Yarrowia lipolytica: one gene and its partner. The protein of the gene in region 1 purifies or fractionates together with the protein of each later gene. This does not show direct contact. Links are inferred from orthologs where the notes say so. Each region holds a gene or a part of one and is shown on either strand. Other genes may lie near its edges.

Region 1 (7,132 bases):
TTGCTGATAATATTGTAATTCCCAGTCCCTTGCATACGCCATTTTTTTGCCACCGATCTTTGCATTTTTGGAAGTATATACATAGGAGCATGTTGAGCAGGAGATAGCGCAGACGGAGTGTCAGAGGAGAGACAATGTAGGCTGTCACGATAAGTGACCACAGTAGCAAATCAAGATTTACACACGCACCATGCTCAGACGTTCAATATCTACCTTCTGTCTACAGTTCTGTCTATAGTACACAGTAGCTTGGCTTTATTCGCTAACCTGTTCAGACGATAAGTACAATTAGCGTCAGTCCATATACCCCTCTTTCAAAAGCGGAAAAACTAATGGATGCAATAATACGACAACCTCCACCGGATTATTCCACACTCAACGTCCAAAAAAGAAAGTGTCACCTTTGGACCTGTTGAGTGACGTCCAAATCGAGCTAAATGAAACTCAATCGTTCGCATCGTTCATCTCGCTAACCATTGCGACTGGAGACATTCTCACCCGCTGAGCTAAAAAGGCAGTGAGTAGCGAGGTGGAAATGGTTGTGCGGGTCTTCAAGTCCTTGTACGCTGCCATTACCACCTAAAGCACCCTCTTACAAGTACCGGTACATACTGTACTTCTATCGTACAGTAGATGACAGATTCACTATTATCATCACATTGCCATAATAATCCACTCAATAAGACAAATACCCTTCCACCCTACACATCGCTCTGAGGCCACACCTCTTCACTGGTTGATTATTAAATAAATAAATGTACATACACTCCCCCATTAAAACTGATTTTTCCTACGCCGCCACTCTCTTTTGACTCTTTTCCCAGAAATCCAGACAGGCAATCACATCGTTGCCCCGCTCGTCCTCGTACGCGTAGATGATCTCCCGCGACGACTCGTGCAAGAACCGGATGTTCTCGCCGTGGATCACGCTCACAATCTCGCCCGTCTTGACATGCCGAATCTCCACAAAGTTGGGTTCGAAAGCCAACAGGTACGGGTACCAGATACCAAAGTTCTGAGGCACGCCTTCCCAGTCGATTCGCCACATGGGCTGCTTTCGCCAGCCATGGGCGTTGGCGTAGAACGAGAACTCGGAAAAGTTGAGCAAGAACTCGCCATCAAGTCGGTACACTGCAATAGGCTTGAGTTGCTCCTTGCCAATGACGAAATCCAGGGAAGTATCTGCAGAAGACAGCAGACTCTGAGTGTCGAAATTGGTGAGGGACACCACCTTGAAACCGTTAGCACAGCCAACACACAAGTTGAGAGACAACAGTGAGATGGAGATAATCTCTGAAGAAATGTTGAACTGCTGGAACGACCGGAACTCGGTGTCCTGACGTCCCTTCTTGAGAGACAGGAGGGTTGTTTGCCGCTTGTTCTTGGTTAGGGGTTCTGAGGGCTCCAGGACGTTGATGGTGGACGAAGTGGAGCTCGACTTGACTGTGCAGACCAGCATTCGGTTATTACACACACCAGCCTTGAAGAAGTTGATGTGACCAAGAACCTTCTTACCCTTTCGCGAGTTGGATACGGGATCCGGAGTATCGATGATATCGGACGGCCAAGCATATAGAGTCTTGTCAGCAAGCGCCAAAATCGTCGTGTACTCGTCCAGAATGGCCACCTGGGTCACGTTGCTCGTAGAAATGAGCTTGACAGGGGTGGTGGCCACAATGGAGTTCTGTAGCGAGCCCTGCTGCTTTGGAAGATGCCGGATGTCAGAAATGAACACTCCCGAGTCGGTTCCATATAGCACCTTTCTTCCGCCGTCAATGGGAACCACGCAATTGACACGGTTATTGCCGTGGAAAAAGCCGGAGCACAGCGTGTACTGCGAGAATACGTCGCCAAGCTCTCGTCGGGCATTCTTCTGCGACTCAATGTTGTCAGACCACGCCTTTCGAGCTGCAAAGTTGGCAGCATACAAAGTCAACTCGTAGCCCTTTCGTCCGATATGCAGAAAGGTCAGAGGGTACTTTCCATTGGACGACTCCTTCGACACAGTCTTGGGGATCAGCGAAGACGGAGGCCGTCGGAATGAAGAGCTCTTAGGACCGATCTCCTCAGCCTGAGCAGCCAAAAGAAGTTCGAGGGGGATGGGCTTCTTGTATACACGCATAATTTCCCGCTTGTTGACCACCTTAACCTTGACGAACAGCAAAAAGTGGTCCAGCAAGTACACTTGGATCTCACCCTGGGTGTCCTGGGTTCGCTTCTTGAGAGAGCCCTTGAAAATGATTCGTCGAGACTCTTCCATCAGCTTGAGGTCCACGTAGTCGTTCTTCTGGAACACCAGCGACTGGTTCAGCTGCATCAGCGAGAACCGGTTCTCGGACTGACCACTCTTTTCGTTGACCTTCATCAAGTACGCCTTGATCTGTTTGATGGCTTCAGGAATGTCACCGTAGTCGGGGTTGTCCTCCTTGGTGTGTTTCAGCACAGCTTCGAGCAGCAGAGGATATCTGGCCAATCGAGTGGTAGGCTTGGTCAGGTAACCGTTAAGCTCCAGTTTTCGAGACTGCTCGAGACGCTCCGTGTCGTTGACAAATTTGGCAAATGCCGGGTTAGACGACTTTTCACGCTCGTACTCATACTTACCGTACAATTGCGAGGCTCCGTACTTAATGAACGGCTCGAATCGTGGCACGTGTTGCAGGAAAATGTCTCCGACACGTCGAACAACAGGCGCAAACTGCTCTCGCTTGGTCAGAGCCTCGGCCAGCTTGATGTTGACGGCATGCACGTCCATGATGAACGAAAAGACCATCTTGATGAATCGCTCTCGTCGAGCCTCGGGAATAATGTTCGAGGTTCGCAGGGGAGTGATCCAATAGTCCCGTACATACTCCAGATCCTTGACAAAGTCCCGCTCTGTGTAAATGAGCTCGCAAATGACCTCCTGTCGCTTCTTCTCCTCGTCATCCACACTGTTGGCTATCTCCTTAGTGACCCGCTCTCTCCACAGCTTCTGCTCTTTGTTGTCGCTGTCGCCGTGAAGAGACAGACGCGACTCAGATCGCTTAAGACCGCTGGGCTTCATGTTGAGCCGAGCCTGCTGCTCTAGACGCCTGGGACAGGCAATGGAGTAACACAGCTTGTCTCTAGTGCACGTGGGAGAGTAACACTCTGTCAGCAGCGTGAACACACCGTTGACAGGCATTCCAACAGTCTGGGCAGCCGCATCATTGGCTTCCACAATCTCGTTGAACTGGTACAGCTCAAAGGGCGAGTCTCGCAGCCGATGGTCGTAGGTGACGTCGTGGAAGAACTTTTGGGCATCCAGAGACCGGCCGAGAAGCAGGGCCAGGTTTCTGTCAGTGGTTTTGATGATATCGGCAATCACTGACACAGCCTCGGAACCCAGAAACGAATTGGAGTAACTCAGCTCGTTCTTCTTCTTGTCTGCTACCACAACGGTGAGTCGGAACATCTCGGCCACCTTGGACAGCAACGCAGGGTAGACGAGAGGGGCTCGTCGCGAGGCAGTGAGTACTGCAGAACGAGGAGAGGGGCCAAATTCAGATGACAACGACCGCATGGACGATGTGGAGGTCGTTCTGTGGTTGCCGAAGCTTGACTGCTGTGTGGGAGACACGACCGTGCTGGCAGTGGCAACCGACGCAGAGGAAGACGAGGGAAGGTGGGTTGCCGACGTAGAGGGAGTTACCGTCGAGTTGAGACTGACGGTTGACCCAGGGATGCTGTGTCCCTGTGCGTTAACTGCATGGGTGCTGCCTCCCATTCCTCCAGGTCCAGAGCCAGGAGGTCCTCCCTGTCGCGGCGGAATCACTCTACCTGAAGAGGTTGAAGTCATGGTAGAGGTTCGGCCCCCGGTTTCTCGATCGTAGACGTTGGGGTTGCCTCGCGATGTTGCTGCCACCGACTGCTGAGTTAGAGACATGGACCGTCCGTACTGCTGCTGGTGAGCCGGGTGATGCTGCTGAGGTCCACCAGACACTGATCTGCCCGGATTGAACTGGCTGAACTGCGAGTACGGGTTGGAGGGGGAGGTCGGAGAGGTGGCCGACTGGGTGTGTCGCATCTGGGGTCGCCGGGAAATGTGGTAAGGGTTAGCCTGGGTCTGGATCTGTGGCGGTTGTTGCTGTCGTGAGAACTGCTGGCCACCGTATTGCGGTGCTCCAGGAGTCATTCCCTGGCCCATACTTGTTGGGGGCATGTTTCCTCCCTGGACCTGGCCGCCCTGAGGGTGCTTCTGAGGCGAGTATTGCTGCTGATGCGGGGGTGGAACATGTTGCGGAGCATGTTGCGGAGGACCGTGCTGCAGCTGAGGAACATGATTCTGCGGGGGAGGACCGTGGTGCTGCTGGGGAGGCGCGTGGGGAACATGCTGGGGCACCTGCTGGGAAGCATGCTGAGGAGGAGCCTGCTGTCCCTGTCGTCCTACAGCGTAAGGATACTGGGTCTGGCCCGTGTGTCCCTGAGGCTGGCCTTGCGGGTACTGTCTCGGCGACTGCTGCTGGGCCTGTCCGGGCTGTGGCCGGTTGGTCGGGTAATGTCGCGGTGGCATGTGTTGCTGTGGCTGCTGGTGATGCTGGGGTGGGGGATTGGCATGATGCGAGGGCTGCATGGGGGGCTGTTTGGTCTGGCCCTGGGGAGGGGCTTGGCCTTGTTCATACCGCTCGTTGAGGTTTTGCATGGACCGCGAGGCGGGGATGCGCTTGGTTAGTATACGGGAGCAACAGGTGTGAGGGTCCGAAAGTCGAGGGCGGACAACGAGATGTAGCTAGTGGAGCAGAAGAATGGGCTGTGATAATTTGTATATGGCGATTCTTAGAGTCGATGTAGGTTTGATTTGCCCTAAGTGTGTCGTCATGTATGCTCTACACCACGTCGTGATGTGTCGTGCGATGCGTTGGTACGCCTTGGTTCCCCTCAAACCACGTCAAACAGTGTCGCTAAAATGTCGCCATAGGAACAGTACAGTCGTGAACATTCACCAAATGAAATTACTGCACATTCCACAGCAATCTCATCTGAATATATCCTTCACGTCACCCTTAAACCATCCGCTCATCTGTGTAACTGCGCGGTACGATAGGAACACCGCTTGTACTGTTGGGATATGAGCCATGTCGATGCTTCTAATTCTAGGTCTCTTCTTCTGCCTGTCTGTGTCTCGCTTGCCACTGGTTCTGTGTTCACATCAGTCTCCTTTCTGTCCATATCACCCATTGCCTGTGTCTATCAGGGTTTCTCCTCATGTCTCATCTACTCACCTGCATCGACGGAATATCGGTAAAAGGAATATCCAACACGTCCTGCGCCATTTGAGCTGCCCTGGGTCGAGTGTGACTAGTTGTGTGTCTCTTGGGGCGTTGTGTCGTGCAAACAACAACTGGTGTAGAGATTGGCGGGCTCTGAAAAAGTGTAGTACTGTACCCTAAGACGCACGAGGCTGTGTTTGTGTGGTGCCAACTTTAGGTTGCTTAGTCACCTGCGGTATTAGTGTGGGGGGAATAAATGGAGCGCTATGAGGGAGACGCATGCAACTTGACCCGGTCGGTACGGTCTATATTACTTGCTACAATGTGGTGAACCGGTGGTCTTTTTTCTCGTGAAAATCTGTCTTTTTTTTCGGCATTTATAGGACTGCCGAAAACGTCAGAAAATAGGGTTGGGGAAGACTGTACAAGAGCAGACCTTTGTATGAGTACTCGAGATACTTTTTTGGAGAGATGATGAAGAAGTCCAAACACCTCCAGTGTGTCATAATAGCCTGTGATGAACTATTTGCTGGCTTTTACTGTCACCTTTCTACCCAAAAGTACCCCTCTCTGACCCACCATTGTCGGTCATATTCACTATGTCCGTCGTATGCAGTCCATCACTTAACCTCATTTGTCCTTAATAAGCACAGGGGTACAGTAGTCCAAAAAGCAATAAACACGGAAGACTCAAGACCGTCAGCCGATGGTCCTGTAGCAGTTGAGCAAGGGAGTGGCTGGAAGCCGAAAATAGTGCCTTGTGTAGCCACAAGTAGATAACAATTCCTTTCAACTTCAAGCACGATAACCACTCAATTGTTAACTCAATAACTGTTCGCTCGCACTTGCCACACAGCTTGCTTGTACCTACGATAGGTGCAACTGTATTGTAGGCATGTGTCCTACAGAATGATCCTCGTCCCCTCCCCGATTATAGCCATTACGGTATTGACATTGAGACACTTACTACTGTAATACGAACATCGGCTACTTGTACTTGTACCAGGGTGTGATAATGAACTCTCTTAACTCCGGTTCCCCGCAAGTCAACCCGGCTGGCACTACAGTCGGTCACACCTTTATCTGACACAGTAGCTACGGTACAGTAAATCTGAAGTTCAATCAACTGAGGGAGTGATTTGAGAAAACAAACTCAAGTGCCATCCAAGTAAAATCCAAGTATGTTACTGAAGCAACCCGCACCCCCTTCCTCCGAATGTTCGCTTCGTAATCAGCGGAATTCATGGTCGAAACATTTCCAATTCACTCAATTGAATCGGCTTATGACATTCCATCAATCCACCTACCTCCGGTCACCAAAATCTCACCTCCCACCATTCCTTGCAATTTCACCTCTAACTGCGCCATTATTAGAGTTCACCAGCTATCTCCACCTCATCACACCCAAACCTGTCATTACCAACGCATCACCAACGTTAACACATCCAACCAGACACAAAAATGCCAGCTCTGAACAGTACATTTCTCGGCGAGGACCAGGACACCCGGGTAGTGGGCAATTTCGCTATCCTCCCCATCAAAACGTCATTCCGAGGCCCCAGTTACCCCAGCAACGCCGACTACGACATCATCGACGAGGTGCTGGATCTGTTCCGAGCAAACTCATTCTTTAAGAACTTTGAGATCAAGGGCCCTGCCGACCGGGCTCTCATTTACGGCATTCTCTTTGTGTCCGAGTGTCTGGGAAAGCTCAAGCCTACCACTTCTGCCAACGAGGCCAACAAGTTGCTGAACACTGCTGCTGTGGAACACTTTTCCATTCCCGGAGACGCCGGCTTCCCACTGAACTCTCTCTACGCCCCTCCCCGAGACCGAAATGAGGTCGAACTGCTGCGAGGCTACCTGATGCAATTCAGACAGGAGCTGGCAAAGCGTCTGATTGA
Region 2 (3,557 bases), on another chromosome or scaffold:
AGAGACGCCATTTCAATAGTGTGTTGATGGGGTTGTAAAATTTCAAAGTTAATATGCATAACAATGTAGACAAGCAAGCTCAATCAAAAACAGTGACCGGAGGGAGGGTACACACTGGGGTCGAAACACGTGATATCAAGCCAAAGAGGAGAAACAATCTTTCTATCTACTCAATTATTTAAAAACAATTTCCCCCCCCTCATTTTTCACGTTTTATACCCTCAATGTAGACTCTGTAGTGCATGTTTTGGTGGCATTCTGGTGTGCGTGTGTGGGTGTTTCCATTTCTCACAGGTTATGAGTAAATACCCAAGAGGACACGACCAAAAACCGACATAAACAGTTGTCGATAACTGAAAGAAGGACTTGAATAGCATGATTGATGTGTATCAACATGTCGAGAAAGTCGCCTCTATCAATTGCTATTAGAAGTGAAATGTTGTATCGTCGAGTGCTACCCGACAAATATTTACAGTACATAAAAAAAAACAAAAACAAAACGATATACTGTACATACTTGACATAAATACAAGTAGCTACCGGTACAAATACTCGTACTGCACTTGTATCCTGATTCAACCTAGAGCACCAATCAATCAATTGATCGTCACATCACTTCAACGACTACATATTCTCCTCATACATCCACTCACTCACTCACTTGTATCAACAATTTCTTGCACTATATATAAACTACACTAGGGACTCTGTTTAGACAGAAGCACCAGAGATGTAGAACCACTTGTCAATGCTCTGATCAATGGGGGCAGGGGCAAGGTTCTGGCCCTCGGGAATGGAAGCAGAGGCAGTGAAGGTGGGGGTGTTCTCAAGAGTGGTGTTCTCGAGAGAAATGCCCTTGTCGTCGGATGCCTTTCCGGCAATGAGGGTCTCCCAGGCCTCCTCGCACTCTCGGATGACCTCGTCGGCGTACTTCTTGTTCTTGCACTCACCGGAGAAGGCAAACTGGTTCTCGGGCTTTCCGTCAGGGATCTTGTAGATTCGGAACCACTCGTTGGTGGCTCGCAGAAGACCGGGCAGGTGTCGCTCAACATCCTCAATGTCATTGACCTTGGAGGCAAGAGGGTCCTTGACATCGATGGCGATGATCTTCCAGTCAGTCTCACCCTCGTCGAGGAGAGCCATGACACCGAGGACCTTGACCTGCTTGACCTGGCCAGTGTAGCCAACAGTCTCACCGATCTCGCAGACGTCGAGCGGGTCGTTGTCACCCTTGGCCTTGGTCTCGGGGTGGACGTGGTTGGGGTCCTCCCAGGTCTGGGGGAAAGCACCGTAGTTGTGGATGTATCCGTGGTGGGGGAAGCAGTTTCGGACGAATCGGAGCTTGCCCTTCTTGGTGTCCTGGATGATGGGGTTCAGAGCAAGGTCCTTGGAGATCTCCATCTTGGCGTTGGTCCATCGAGGAACCTCGACAATCATGTTGAGAATGGTCTTCTCAGCATTGGCGTACAGAGGAATGTCGTGGAAGGCGGAAACGGGCTTGCCGTCCTTCTCAATGTAGACCTTGTAGTCGAGAGTGTTGGGGGCACCAATGGACCGGGTAGTGTAGGTAGACATGTTGCTGGTGTTGGATGAAGAAGTTAAGTGCTGGCTGACCTGGCCAAGACGATGATGCGTGGTGTGCGGTAGGGTAACCTGATCTGAACTTGTCCTCGTCACGTGTGATGGCATGTGTGTGATATATATGCGTGTCCTTTGATCTTTTTGGCGGTGGCCTCGTGGCGACGATTGTGGTGGGTCTTTCAGGCTGGGCTGGTTGGCGTCGATCCGATTGTTGTACAAGTGCTCCCGTCGTGCACGCTCTCTCAGCCAAAGGTGAGGTCCCTTCTTTGGGTTTCCATGGGTCTATATGTACTGTTATTGGTGAGCATGGGGGGAGCCTAACTTTCCCCACATAAAGTGCGACTCGGAGGCCCATGTGCGTGTGTGGCGACGCTGTGCCATCAATTGAGATGTGGTGGATTCTACATCTTGTGAAAATCACTCTCCAGACGAAATTTAGCACACACACATTGCCCAACAACAAAGTGGATGGGCAGTTATTACCTGTTCAATGCACCCTGAGTCATACACCTATGACGTACAAGTGCCTGCCTCAGCAACCATCACCTGTGCCCTCTTATTTGCGATTGCGCGCCGAAACGTGGTGTGGGGTGCAATACTGATTATTCTGGGCTCCTCCGAGGAGGTTTTGTCATGAGCTGTGACGTGGATGGCGTTAGTGCGACAGCAGGTGAAAAAGAGAGCGGCTGGGCTAAACTTCAAACGAAAAAGCAGGCAGTTGATTATCGCACGAAACCCAACATTCTCTTCGGCTCTTGCGCGGAGATATTGCCATATGCATCGGTTATCGTGTGTCTTCGGGTTTCAAGGCGTAGATCGCCATCCATCTCATAAGAGTACACTAGAGCAAGCGAAAAGGAAAAGGAAAAGGGAAAAATATTAAAAAAGGTTGTGGGAATTTAACCCACTTGTTTGGAGCAGTTGTTAAACTGCCATCACCCAGAATCGAACTGAGGTTTCCACGGCCACAACGTGGTGTACTAACCACTATACTATGATGGCTTAAATTAAGCGTTGATTAGAGGAAATTTCTGCAACCATAATCAAAATTCTGACCTCATTAACCCGCGATTTTGGGATAAAAGTAATACCATTGGAAACTAGACACCTGAATTAATCAAATGGTGACGACAATGCCACCCTAAACCCATTTTTACATGTTTTACAACCTTTCCAAGTTTGCTATGACAACCCACAGGTAGACCCAAAACATGACTCAAACCGACTGTTTCAGAGTAAAAAGACTACCAGCAAACAGATGAGGTTTATATAAGACCAATACAAACGACATTAAGGTACTATACTCATGTGTAGCTCCGAATGATGGGTGTTTTTATCTCATTGCTTCCTCAAATCTCCATCCAATAGTTTACCCCCTGATAGTGAGGCAATTCCCTCAATTGTAGAGGATTAACAGTTGATCGATTCAATTCTTAGCAGCTAATGAAAAAAAGAATATGTTTACTTCCTCTTTTCCTCTTAATTATTCGTGAAATCCCCGTTTCAGGTTGCTTCTTGACACCGCACTACAAGTAGGTAGATATGGAACACACTATAGAGTTTCAGCAAGTTGGGCCACCTCCTGAACATATTCCCCGAGATCTTCTTAGTTGTTTCTTGTTTTTTTTTTTTTTTTTTTTTTTTCTTCTTCATTTTACCGCTCTCCTAGCTTAGACACCGTCAGCTACTACCTCAATGAGCCCTTTGCCAGAAACTAACCCTCCATGACCACAGTCAACAGTGTCGAAAAACCTCGAGGTTTCAACTCTAAACCTCTCCAAGCTTATCTAACTTAGACCCCTCCTACACACATGCGCACGTTTCGAAAGTCGGTAGTACGCAAGACAAAACGCCTGTTTGACCACCAGGGGACGTCCAAAAAATACATTGACGACACTACCGACATGTCTCAGATCCAGCAACTGATTGAAATGGGCATCAGCGAGGATGTCGCCAAGATTGCGCTCCGCAGAAAC

What was found.
Region 2: the proteins of YALI1_B26430g (region 1) and YALI1_F18105g purify together in Saccharomyces cerevisiae (affinity purification with mass spectrometry; 4 studies listed by BioGRID). This does not show direct contact. The link is inferred for Yarrowia lipolytica from reciprocal best matches to the Saccharomyces cerevisiae genes ROM2 and IPP1.

Annotation. Positions count from the first base shown.
Region 1 is NC_090771.1:2,638,388-2,645,519, forward strand, and holds YALI1_B26430g (uncharacterized protein), read right to left. Parts: upstream 5,292-7,132; coding exon 5,241-5,291; intron 4,682-5,240; coding exon 791-4,681; downstream 1-790. Other genes in the region: YALI1_B26451g (uncharacterized protein), read left to right, coding at 6,690-7,132. UniProt on the Saccharomyces cerevisiae protein: Stimulates the exchange of RHO1 GDP-bound form into GTP-bound form.
Region 2 is NC_090775.1:1,808,885-1,812,441, forward strand, and holds YALI1_F18105g (uncharacterized protein), read right to left. Parts: upstream 1,690-3,557; coding exon 712-1,689; downstream 1-711. Other genes in the region: YALI1_F18081g (uncharacterized protein), read right to left, coding at 1-11; YALI1_F18122g (uncharacterized protein), read left to right, coding at 3,393-3,557.